3 linked regions of the Oryctolagus cuniculus genome follow. The protein of the gene in region 2 interacts with the protein of the main gene of each other region in a biochemical or structural test. Links are inferred from orthologs where the notes say so. Each region holds a gene or a part of one and is shown on either strand. Other genes may lie near its edges. The genes, in order: PRKCD, STAT1 and MCM5.

The links.
Region 1: of the proteins of STAT1 (region 2) and PRKCD, one has a biochemical effect on the other in vitro, tested with the Homo sapiens proteins (2 studies listed by BioGRID). The link is inferred for Oryctolagus cuniculus from reciprocal best matches to the Homo sapiens genes STAT1 and PRKCD.
Region 3: the proteins of STAT1 (region 2) and MCM5 form a complex in vitro, tested with the Homo sapiens proteins (2 studies listed by BioGRID). The link is inferred for Oryctolagus cuniculus from reciprocal best matches to the Homo sapiens genes STAT1 and MCM5.

What each region holds. Positions count from the first base shown.
Region 1 is NC_091441.1:96,637,615-96,641,356, reverse strand, and holds the start of PRKCD (protein kinase C delta type), read left to right. Parts: upstream 1-1,234; 5' UTR 1,235-1,435; intron 1,436-3,742.
Region 2 is NC_091434.1:49,332,897-49,336,538, reverse strand, and holds part of STAT1 (signal transducer and activator of transcription 1-alpha/beta), read right to left. Parts: coding exon 3,632-3,642; intron 2,651-3,631; coding exon 2,575-2,650; intron 1,684-2,574; coding exon 1,581-1,683; intron 1-1,580. UniProt on the Homo sapiens protein: Signal transducer and transcription activator that mediates cellular responses to interferons (IFNs), cytokine KITLG/SCF and other cytokines and other growth factors.
Region 3 is NC_091442.1:112,980,095-112,983,836, forward strand, and holds the end of MCM5 (DNA replication licensing factor MCM5), read left to right. Parts: intron 1-614; coding exon 615-757; intron 758-2,631; coding exon 2,632-2,759; intron 2,760-3,361; coding exon 3,362-3,463; 3' UTR 3,464-3,720; downstream 3,721-3,742. UniProt on the Homo sapiens protein: Acts as a component of the MCM2-7 complex (MCM complex) which is the replicative helicase essential for 'once per cell cycle' DNA replication initiation and elongation in eukaryotic cells.

The sequences.
Region 1 (3,742 bases), on a different chromosome or scaffold from region 2:
CACCCTCTCTCTCTGGCCGGAGGGGTCACTGTGCTCTTTCTCTCTCCAGCCCAGACCCCCCCTCTTTGCACTTGAAATGGGATTGAGTTCCATGTCTCTGCCAGTGCTATCCATCCCTGGAAGTCTCAGTGGACAACCCGCTCCTGACAACCCTGCAACCCACCTGGTCTGGCCTCTTCTCCCTGTCCCTCCTCCACAACCTCAACCCAGGTTCCTCCCCCCTGAACAAGGAGCCAGCCCCTCCACTGCCATCCCATCTCCCCCTCTCTGCCCCCGCTCATCCCTTCAGGAGCACACTTGAGCTTGTCACTCACCACTCTCCCACTGCACCTTAAGAAGCTCAAAGCCCTGGCCCAGCCTGCCTCTGCCACAGGCCCCTTGCTCAGCTCAGGCCTCTTCAAGGACTTGTCCCGCTCGTCCATCCCTCAGGCCTCAGCCGCATGGGCTGTCGGGACTCTGGCCATTCCCTCAAGGTGATGGTGGTGCCCGCCCAGAGCCCAGGAACCTGGAACTCTCCTTCTTGCCGCTGGGAAGCGACATTTCAGGAGAATGGACTTCTTGGACCCCAGCTGGCCCCCAGGCTTTGGGGCCAGGGGACACTTGGTGAATGAATGAAGGAACGGGTGAGTTACAGCTGACATCCGAGTTCCACGTGTGAGAAGGACGCTCAGAGGCCTGCCAAGGCCAATGGGCAGCTCCGGAGGGTGGGGGCAGCAAAGCGGGAGGCGGGGAGTCGGGGCAGGGGCAGCTCCTCAGATATCCGACAAGCAGAAAGGGCAGCGGCACAGCCTTGTCCTGGAGTCCTCCCAGCTCGGTCTTTAGGGCAGGGCAGGACAGTGCTGGGCCGGCAGGCCTGGCGGCGGGCTCTGATCCCGGCCGTGTCCGCGCTGTAGCCAGCAGCAAGGGAAGGAGCGAGGCCAGACAAGGCGGGCCAGCTGATCGGTGGGGAGTCCCGGGCGTGGGCGTGCGGACCCGGGGAACCCCCGCGGGCGCCTCCCGGCCGGGGCGTGGTATGACCACCACGGACCTCCGTGTCCTCCTCAGTCGGGGGGCCGACGTGCGTGCTGGCGGCGAAACTCGGGCCGCGGCGGGCCCCAGAGGACGGCGAGGGCAGGACTCCAAGCGACCCGCGCCCCGCGGGCTCCCGTGGCGGGGCCTCGCACGGGGCGGGGCCTCTCGGGGCGTGGACTTCGGGGGGCGGGGCCAGGCCGGCACCTGGGTGAGGTCGCCCCGCCCCGCCCCTCGCACTTCCGTGTGCCTCGGCGCGGATACGGGAGGTGGCGGCAGAGCGCCGGCTCCCGGAGCGACCCTCGGCGTCCCTCGGTCCGCGCCGAGACCCGGGCCGTCCCGCGCCGAGCCCGCTCCGACTCCGTCCAGGCGCGCCCGGGAGCCAGAGCCCGGCGCCAAGACCCCTGGCGCCAGCGCCCCTCAAGAGGTGAGTGAGAGCCCGGCCGGGCGAGGGATCCGGGCTGCTCCGGGACGCGCCGCCCCTCCCTCTCCTCCGCGCTCCGGTTCCCGTTTCTGAAGCTGAGAAACTGAGCTGTGGCCGGCGAAGGTCCCGCCGCGGACGGCTCCCGGCCTCCACCCGCGGGTGTGCCCGGCTCCTCCGGGCGTCGGTCCGTCCCCCGGCCCTCCAGGCCGCCCCCTCGATCTTGCCCGCCCGGGGGCCGAAGCCGGGCCACCCGCCGGGCTTCCCCTCCCGCTGCTGGGTCCCGGGGCCGGCGCGACCCGCGGCGCCGCCTCCTGGCGCCGGCGCGAGTGATCGCCGCAGTGTCTGTCTCCTGCAGGCTTCGGGTGGGGCGACCCCTCCCCCTCCTTTCACCCCCGGGCCCCCTGCCCGTCCAGACCCTTCGCCCCTTTGAGCCCCCTCTTCTGGTGGCCCGGGCCTGGTGAGGTCGGTCCCCGCCCCCCAACCCAGACGCCACTCCCCTTGGGGGGCCCCAGCCCGCTGAGGGGAGGAGGTGGATGAAGGAGGTGAGGACTGCCCCCACCTCTGGGCTCCATCTCTGGGGAGGGGAGAGCCCCACTGAGCATCCCACTTAACCCGGTCACTTCTCTGCCCTCCCATAGTTACCCCTAGGCCTGAACCCTTGTCTCTGCGCTCGCTCGCTGTTGCCTGCATCAGGGTGTGGGCGTGTGTGGTGAATCTCTGCCTCCTTGGGAGGTCCACGCTGTCTTTGTCACAGTGTGTGTCTTGTGTTGGGGTCAGTGTGTGTCTGGCAGTCGTGTGTTGCAACACCCCATGTGTCATGGGGACCCCCTGGCCATGAGAGTGTGTTAGATGTGCTAGTTGTGGGAGAGCCTGGTGTTGGGGTGCCGGCCTGCCCCGCTCCTGTGTGAGAGTGTGCGTGTGTGTGTGCACTCACGTGTGGCTCTTCCTCTCCCTCTGCCACAGAGCTGCCGTGCCCAGGCTGACCTGGTCACCAAGGGAGGGGACTGGTCCCTTGGGTTTCCTCCTTCCTGCTGTGGACAGAGCTGGGGTGTGGAGGACAGGCCGGCAGAGGGCGGCTGTGCCTGTGTGTGTGATGTGGAGGTGGCTGGGCCGCCGTTCCTGGCAGCGTGGTGATGTGAGGCATACGTGTGACAGGGCTGCGTGGGGTGGTATGGGAGCTGATGACTGGGGGGACACTCAGAGTCTGCAGGAAGCTGCACACGTGTGCTTGGGGAGTGACCGACTCGGGGGGACTGAGAGTGGCTGGGCGTGGGTACCAGCGACAGGAGGGGGTGTGACAAGGTGTGTGGTGACAGTGCGAGGAGGCAAGGTGAGAGCCTCAGCGTGTGAGCCTGGGGGTGGCCTTGAGTGTGTGTGTGTGTGTGTGTGTGTGTACAGGCTGCACATGGGAGCAGCCCTGGCTCCTGGGGCGGTATAGAAGGCCCCAGGCAAGTCTCGGGGTTTGTAGTGCAGTCCCCAAGCCTCAGAAGGACGCGGCTGAGCCCTTGCTGTACTCATTCAGAGCAGGAGACCCAAGCCAGGCCTCTCCCCAGCTTAGTGTCCGTCTCTGCAGCACGCAGAGAGCTGGGACAGCTACAGGTCCCAGGGCGCACCCCACAGCGGGGGTGTAGCACTTGCTAAATCTCACCTGGTGACCGCCCCAGCCCTGTGGTCCCCATTGGTCCGGGAGCTGGGGCTAATGAAAGCCCAGATAGTCCCCGACCTAATTTCCTGCCCATCCCTGGGGAGGGAGCTGCCTGCCAAGGGAGTATGGGGTTCTGTTCTGCCTGCAGGATGGCCCCTGCCTCACCAGCCCCTGCCCCAGCAGTGATGGGGGGAGGGTGCTGGGAGGTGGTTTGGCTGTGTGCAGGGCGCTGACATCATTTAGCTGGCACAGCTAATTAGAGTTTAAATTAAAATTAGAAATAATTTAAAGCACAGACAAAAAGATAATGCCCTACGGTACTTCTGCCCCCCCAGGGGTAGTGCTGAGGCCTCCAGCAGGGTGGGGGCTGCCCTCTGGGGTGGGGAGTCTTTGTGGAGATCTGGCCTGCAGAAGATGTGCTCAGCCTTTCAGCCAGGAGACCCAGGGCGCTTTTCTGTCTTCGCCATTCCTTCCTTCTAGGATAGTAGCTCCAGGCTCAGTTTTTTCAGCTTTATAATGGGCAAGATAATAAAGTGAGAACCACCCAGTTCCCATATTACTTTGGTTGTAAGGTACTAAATAAGTAATAAAGAGTTACTGTTCATTTTTAAACATATGGCCAGAGCTACGTTTATCAAAATTTTTTTTTAAAGATTTGTTTTATT
Region 2 (3,642 bases):
CCATTATATGGACTGGAATGGCTGCAGGGGGTGTTGCCAAAGAGCACCCCATTTCCTGAGAAGACGAGGACTCAGGGCATCACTGTGACAGAAAGCAGTCCCGCGGCTGCACGGGTGGAGAGAATTAATCCATCTTATTTCCTCAAGGTCACCAGGCATAACGGTGATGACGGAGTTGGACTCTCACTGCCAAATCCCCAACACAGGCCCCTCATCCACGGGCCACGCTGCCTCCTCTTAGTACACAGAGGGAAACGCTTCCCGAGGGGCGCACGTTTTGAACAAAGCAAAGACCGGCTTCTTGCAGGAGGCTGCCCAGGGCGGTCGACGCGGCTCAGTCGACGCGGCTCGAGTACGCTCCCCCTGGGTGGACACGGAGCCCTCCTGTCAAGTGACGCAGCAGGGGGAGGGGCTCTGAGCATGGGAACAGCAGCCGCACCTGAGTCACCAGGACCAGCTGAGTCCCTGTCCCGGAAGTGCCCCGCACACCGCTTAGGAAGTGTCCCATCAGGGGCGGCGCTGGGGGGGACGGAGTCACCCCACAGGAGGCTGCTGTTTTGTTCTTTGCCAGCTCTCAGATTTCCTGAGGGGGGCTTTACGCTGGCTGTGTTTTTGTCCAGGCGTAACAGTGCCCCACAGAGGATGCTGGGGTCCCTGGAGAAAAGGGTCATTCTACACTGGCCAGCGGGAACAGGACAAGCTGCTCCCACACTAGCCAAGCGCTTTCCTAATGACCTCATTCATCCTCAAGATGCGGGAAAGGTTCAGACACGCGACCTCCAGGCTTTAGCCCATGCTAGAGCAAGAGCGTCCACAGCTACTGCCGAGGCTGCCCGGGGGCAGCGGGCATGGCCGGGCCCCCGCCCACTCTCTCCTCCTTCCCCTCCCCCCTGCCTTCCTCTCGCGTTACTGAGCGCACACATTCTTTACTGGGGACCAAGTACACAGTGAGGAAGACAGACCAGGAATGACTCACGCAGGATATTTTTTTTAAAAAAAAGCAGGGACCAAAGGTTTAAACATGAACTGGCATAGCTCCATGTGGAAAGGAGCTTAAAATCAAAACAGCATCAGCAAAAACTCAGCCAACCAAAGGAAACCTCGGAGAGGCAGGATTTCAGGCTGCAGGGCACACAATGCACTTCCCTGGTCGCTTGGAAAACCATGCCCCCAGGGAAGATTCTCTTTTGTGTGGCCAGTCCTGCTCTCTTCCCCATCATGGAGCTCATTAACTGTTTCAGTCCTTGAGCTGCTTGCTTCTGCACAGGCCCCTCCTGGGTCCTGGACGCCGGGCAGCCGCGCTCTGTCACTACTGCTGGCGAGGTGTAACCCTGGGAGCACCCCACTGCACGCCTCGCTCCCTTCCCACTCCTCGGGGACCCCGGGACGCGCTCGGGCGGACGGACGGGGTTTTCCCAGCAGAGAAGTGGCAGTGACATTTCTACAGGGACAGCACCACAGGCCGAGGGCGAAACTCTGAAATGGCACTGACGTCCTGGAAGGTGCTGAATGCCAGGACCACCACCCCTTGGCAGGCACACACTCACCGAGGCTGGGGGCCCACCTGCCGCGGTACTCACCATACTGTCGAATTCTACAGGGCCCATTATCCGAGACACCTCATCAAACTCCTCAGGAGACATGGGCAGCAGGTTTTCTGTGCTCTGGAGTCTAGAAGGGTGACTACAAGGGGAGAAAGGAAAGGGAGATGTTACGGTCGACCATTAGGAACGCGGTGGTGCGAAGGGATGTGCCTGGCTCTGGTCTGTGATTGGATTATCACTCTACATGTTTATTTTGGGGACGTTTCTACACTTGAAAAGCATAGCTGCAAAAGTACAGATCATATTGCGGGAGGTGAATGCGCCCAGCCCGGCCCCTGGAGGAATGTATTGGCCTCTTGAGATGTGAGCGAGCAGCAGCCAGCCGGGAGCTTGCGGCCTCTGCTCTGGCTACGCCTTGGCGTGAGCTGCGAGTGTGTCACCTCAGGTGACCGTGCCTCGGGGCTTGCCCTGGACAGAAAAGCACCAGAGAAGTTTCTGGGGAGTCCCTCATCCCTACCTTGAGGTTTGTATGCAGATAAAGCTGCTCCACAGAGTGGTTTTACATGATGGCTATACATCCATTCACCCCAAGACAGTGCTGCACGCCAAATAACTGACAATGACTTTTCCAAAATTTTTTCTACCTTTTACAAAATGAAACAACAAAATAAAAGCAAGCGGAGAAAATGTATCTCAATCATTACTTTGGCCTTTTCTAGATTGAAAAGAACTACTTTCTCACTCTGATCAATTTTTGTTCATTTTATTTATGCTGTTTCAAAGGATTCGTTTTGGGAGAATTTATATACCTTAAAGACAACTTTGTTTTTGTTTTTGTTTTTGTTTAAATGCAGTAAAATGCTGGGAGTCAGTGACACTGGGATCTCTAGTTAGGATCTTTCCATCAAGTCCACCTGTGAAGGCGATAGCAATTTTAATGGAAAAGCGAAGTACAAGCATCTTCAGCAGGCCCCAGCCAGGAGCAGGCTGGCTTGGGTTCTAAACATGCCACTCTTCCGTGTGCACTTACACTTCAGACACAGAAATCAACTCAGTCTTGATGTATCCAGTTCCTTTGGGGCCGTCAAGTTCCATGGGTTCTTGCCCTAGAAGCAAACACATCGTGTACACTTTGCGTTAGAAGAAGTTACACGGTGAAGGATCAACTGTTTATGGATCAAAATGCCACTGTTGTCCCGGACAGCTTAGAGGCCTGTAGCTTTTAAGCACGATGACCTCGCTGCCTGGGTCACCTGGAATTCCAGCGGGAACCCATAAGCAACTAGAAGAAAACGGGAGGAGATCTCAGCAGCAGTCTAACTGGCAGCCCTCTCTTTTCAAGTTTTGAAGTCCTACATGAAGCTGGAGCCCTAAAACACACAAAGGTCTCTGATCGGGTGGTGCTAGCCTGGCGGATGCATTGCACAATTATCAAGACAGCATCTTCACTCCAAAGTTACTGTCCTGATATTGAGATTTCTGACTCAAAACTAATTAGCCTTGTTGGTGTGTTCCAAGCCAGATGGGTCTTACTGGGAACTTTCCCGAGCACAATTCAGGGCTGACCGTGGAAGCAGATCTGTGTTCTAAGACAGGTCTCCTCTTGATGGTAAGCAGTAATGACGACAGGATCTAGTGACTAACTGGGTCAGCCTGAATCAACCACTCCACGCCTCCCTGGCCTCCATTTCCTCAAGTTTAACACGAGCAAGTTGGCCACGTCCCCTACACTTTACCGCTTTCCACGTGGAAAAAGTGATGTGTAACAGATACACAAACCACAAATGGACATTTCCAACACCCCTAAAATAGGAGATTAACCATTCGTTTCTCACTGACTGTATCAGACCAAATAATGACTGTACTTCAGCTGCACTGAGCTCACACCACCCTGTGCATGCATGCATGCAGCCTGTAGCAGTTCAAAGGGAGTGGGGGGTTCATGTCACAGGCTGGGTGGAGCCTGTGCTGGCTCCTTCCCCTTGAAGACAAAGGCAGTGTGGCTGCTGACGCTGCCGGCGAGCCAGCCCTTCAGCACCAGGGGACCGGGGGACCGCGTGTGCTGCTCTCCTCGCAACCCCACTCACCTTCCTTTGGC
Region 3 (3,742 bases), on a different chromosome or scaffold from region 2:
AGGGCTGCAGGCGTCGCAAGCGGCACCCTAACCTGCTGCGCACCACCTGCCCCTTTGCTTTGATCTCAGCTCTTAACTCTGCCTCATTTTTGGAGAGTTTGCAGGGTCTAAGTGGGTAAGAGTGAGACCTCCAGGGGCTGGATCTGGGCTCTGGCACTGATGAGGTAGAAATGTGATAAAGTAGCTTTAGAGAATGGGAAGTTTATTTCTGTCTGACATAAAAACGTGGAGGTCTGTGGTGGTGGACGGGTGCGACGGTTCTTGCTCAGCTGTCTCGTGGTCGGGGCGGCTGCGGGAACTCAGCCATCACCACCACATCCTAAACAGCGGGAGTGGACGGGGCAGAAGGGTTCCCCTTGCAGGGCGCGTCCTGAACTTGCCACGTGGTGCTTGGACTGAGAGCCTGCTGGCCGCACGTTGGTCCCACAAACACGCGTAGATGCAGGAGAGGCGGGGGTGCTAGACTGAGCGAGGGCCCTGTTAGGAAGATCGGGATAGCTGGCAGTGCCCACTGCAGTCTTACCCCCTAGGGCACGCACCTCTCAGGTGCCAGTGGCGGGCAGGGGAGGGACGCAGGGCTGAGGCCACCCCGCGTGTCTCGTTGGCGCCCACAGGCAGCTGGAGGCCATCGTGCGCATCTCCGAGGCCCTCAGCAAGATGAAGCTGCAGCCCTTCGCCACGGAGGCGGACGTGGAGGAGGCTCTGCGGCTCTTCCAGGTGTCCACGCTGGATGCCGCCTTGTCCGGCACCCTGTCAGGTGAGCAGGTGTGGGCTCCCTGGAGCCGTGTGGCAGGGCCCCGGCGCGCCGCAGGCCTGCACAGGGCGCTGCTGCCCTGCGTTCGCTGGGCTGCTCTGAGCTCCCTTCTGGCAGCAGCACCTACCTCCCTGTGTCTCCCCAGCCGCCCGCCTCCGAGGGGAGGCGGCCGCTTCTGTTGGACCCCTGGACACGTGAGACCCAGCTCAGGAAGAATAATTTTAATTCTGTTAGAATAACTGTAATTCTAGTTAGAACGTTTGTCAGTCCCCTTTGTAGAGCTCAGAATATTTTTAGCTGTGTCCCTAATGTGGTTAAGATTTGTCTTATTTATTTGAAGAGTACACACAGAGGGGGATGGGGGGGAGGTCTTCCATCCACTGGTTCACTCCCCAAATGGCCACAACGGCCAGGGCTGGGCCAGACCACAGCCGTGAGCTTTATCTGGTCTCCATGTGGTTACAGGGGCCCAAGCATTTGGGCCATGTTCTGCTGCTTTCCCAGGCTCATTAGCAAAGAATTGGATCAGAAGTGGAGTAGTGGGAACTCAAGCTAGCACCCGTATGGGATGCCGGCATCACAGGCAGCGGCTTAACCCGCTGCGCCACAGCCCTGGCCCCTGGCCCTTGTTTCATGGTGCCTAGGCTCGTGAGCTCTCACTCTAGAGGGGGAGATGCAGTAAGGAAGCAAATGGGAATTCATGTCGAGGTTAGGTTTGGGGGCAAATGATTGCAGAGCCAAGTGTGTAGGAGGAGGGGCGCTGTTCTCATCAGCTGGTCCAGTAGAGTTAGCGGGGCCTCGGGAGCTGACCTGTGTGAGGGGAGCGCAGGTGGAGGGAATGCCAGGTCAGCAAGCCGGGGAGGGAGTGGCTTGCCCATCGGGGAGACCACCAGCAGCCCAAAGTGGAGAGTGTGAGCCTCTGCCTTGGGGGGGGGCTCCGGGCACCTGCCACAGCTCCAGGGCAGCTGGCTCCCCTGGGAGATCCTGACAGATCCCTCCTGGCTCCCCTCAGAGATCACTCCCAGATCCCCTGCTGGCTCCCCTCAGAGATCTGACAGATCCCTCCTGGCTCCCCTCAGAGATCACTCACAGATCCCCTGCTGGCTCCCCTGGGAGATCCCTCCTGGCTCCCCTGGGAGATCCTGACAGATCCCCTGCTGGCTCCCCTCAGAGATCCTGACACATCCCCTCCTGGCTCCCCTCAGAGATCCTGACACATCCCCTCCTGGCTCCCCTCGGATATCCTGACAGATCCCTCCTGGCTCCCCTCAGAGATCACTCACAGATCCCCTCCTGGCTCCCCTTGGATATCCTGACAGATCCCTCCTGGCTTCCCTGGGAGATCCTGACAGATCCCCTCCTGGCTCCCCTCAGAGATCCTGACACATCCCCTCCTGGCTCCCCTGGGAGATCCTGACAGATCCCTCCTGGCTCCCCTGGGAGATCCTAACAGATCCCTCCTGGCTCCCCTGGGAGATCCTAACAGATCCCTCCTGGCTCCCCTCAGAGATCACTCACAGATCCCCTGCTGGCTTCCCTGGGAGATCCCTCCTGGCTCCCCTGGGAGATCCTGACAGATCCCTCCTTGCTCCCCTCAGATCCTGACAGATCCCCTCCGGCTCAGACTTGCTTCAGGACTGGCTCCTGCTGCCCCGGCAGCTGCAGGGTCCTGTCTGAGGTCCTGTCTCCCCAGGCCGTGCTTGTTGCTCCCGCAGGGCCCCCTGGCGGCTGCACGTGGCAGTGCAGAGTCGGCCTGCTAGCCTCTGTGCCTCTGCACTGCTGGCTCTGGCTCTCAGGCCACACGCTTCCTGGGGTTAGAGGCTCTCCTTAGAGCGGGCAGACGCCTGGGCCCCGTCCACCTTGCCTCTCGCCCGCAGGGGTGGAGGGCTTCACCAGCCAGGAGGACCAGGAGATGCTGAGCCGCATCGAGAAGCAGCTCAAGCGCCGCTTTGCCATCGGCTCGCAGGTGTCGGAGCACAGCATCGTGCAGGACTTCATCAAGCAGGTGGGCCTCCGGGGCGGCCGTGGCGGCTGGTCCCGGGCCAGGGCGCGGGGGCTGCTCCGCTCCACGCAGCTCCGCGGGAGCAGTGGTTCTTGTCTTGGCCCTGCAGAGAGGTGGCTGGGTTCCCTCTCGCTGGCTTCTCACGGTGGGGAGCAGAGTCGAGTGAGCTCCCCGCTGCTTGGGGAGGGTGCTGTTGACCCCGCAGAGAGGAGATGGGGCCTTCCAGATGCCGTGCGCCTGAGGGGGCCTGTGTGGGAGGTGGTGGCACACCTGGTCTACACAAGTGGGGCCTGGAGAGGTTGGGGAGTCAGGCGCCTGAGTTGTAGCCACAGGACTCGATGAGGTTGAGCTCTGCGACCCTCAGCAGATGACTTAGCCACTCTGTGCCTCAGTTTCCACGCCTGTAGGCGTGGGACTAGCGGCTTAGGGTTGCTGGGGGTAGATGAGCTCTTGGGGGAAGAGTCGGGACAGTGGCTGGTGTGCTGTGGGTCTCAGAAATGCCGAGCCTTCCTGGGGTCAGAGGGGAGCACGTGGGAAAGGCGCCCGGGAACAGGGGGTGTGGGCTCCCTGGGGAGGCACGCCTGCACCCAGCTGTGTCCCCACAGAAATACCCGGAGCACGCCGTGCACAAGGTGCTGCAGCTCATGCTGCGGCGGGGCGAGATCCAGCACCGCCTGCAGCGCAAGGTCCTCTACCGCCTCAAGTGAGCCCGCGCCTGCTGCTGGCTGCCGCCGGGGACGTCACTGTCGCCGCCGTCACCACTGTCACCGCCATCGCCGCCGCCGCCGCCCCGCCGCCACCCTCGCCGCCTCCAGCAGCTGCCTCTGGCAGTTCCGGACAGTGTGCATTTGGAATCTGTTGGGTTAATAAAGTGTTGTGTGCTTGGGCGTCTGGGCTGCTGCTGCACGTGGTGGCTCACCCGGGTCTGCCGCGTGGGCTCCCGGACAGGCCCTGGAGCTCCGCACCACGGTTTCTTGGTCTTGGTC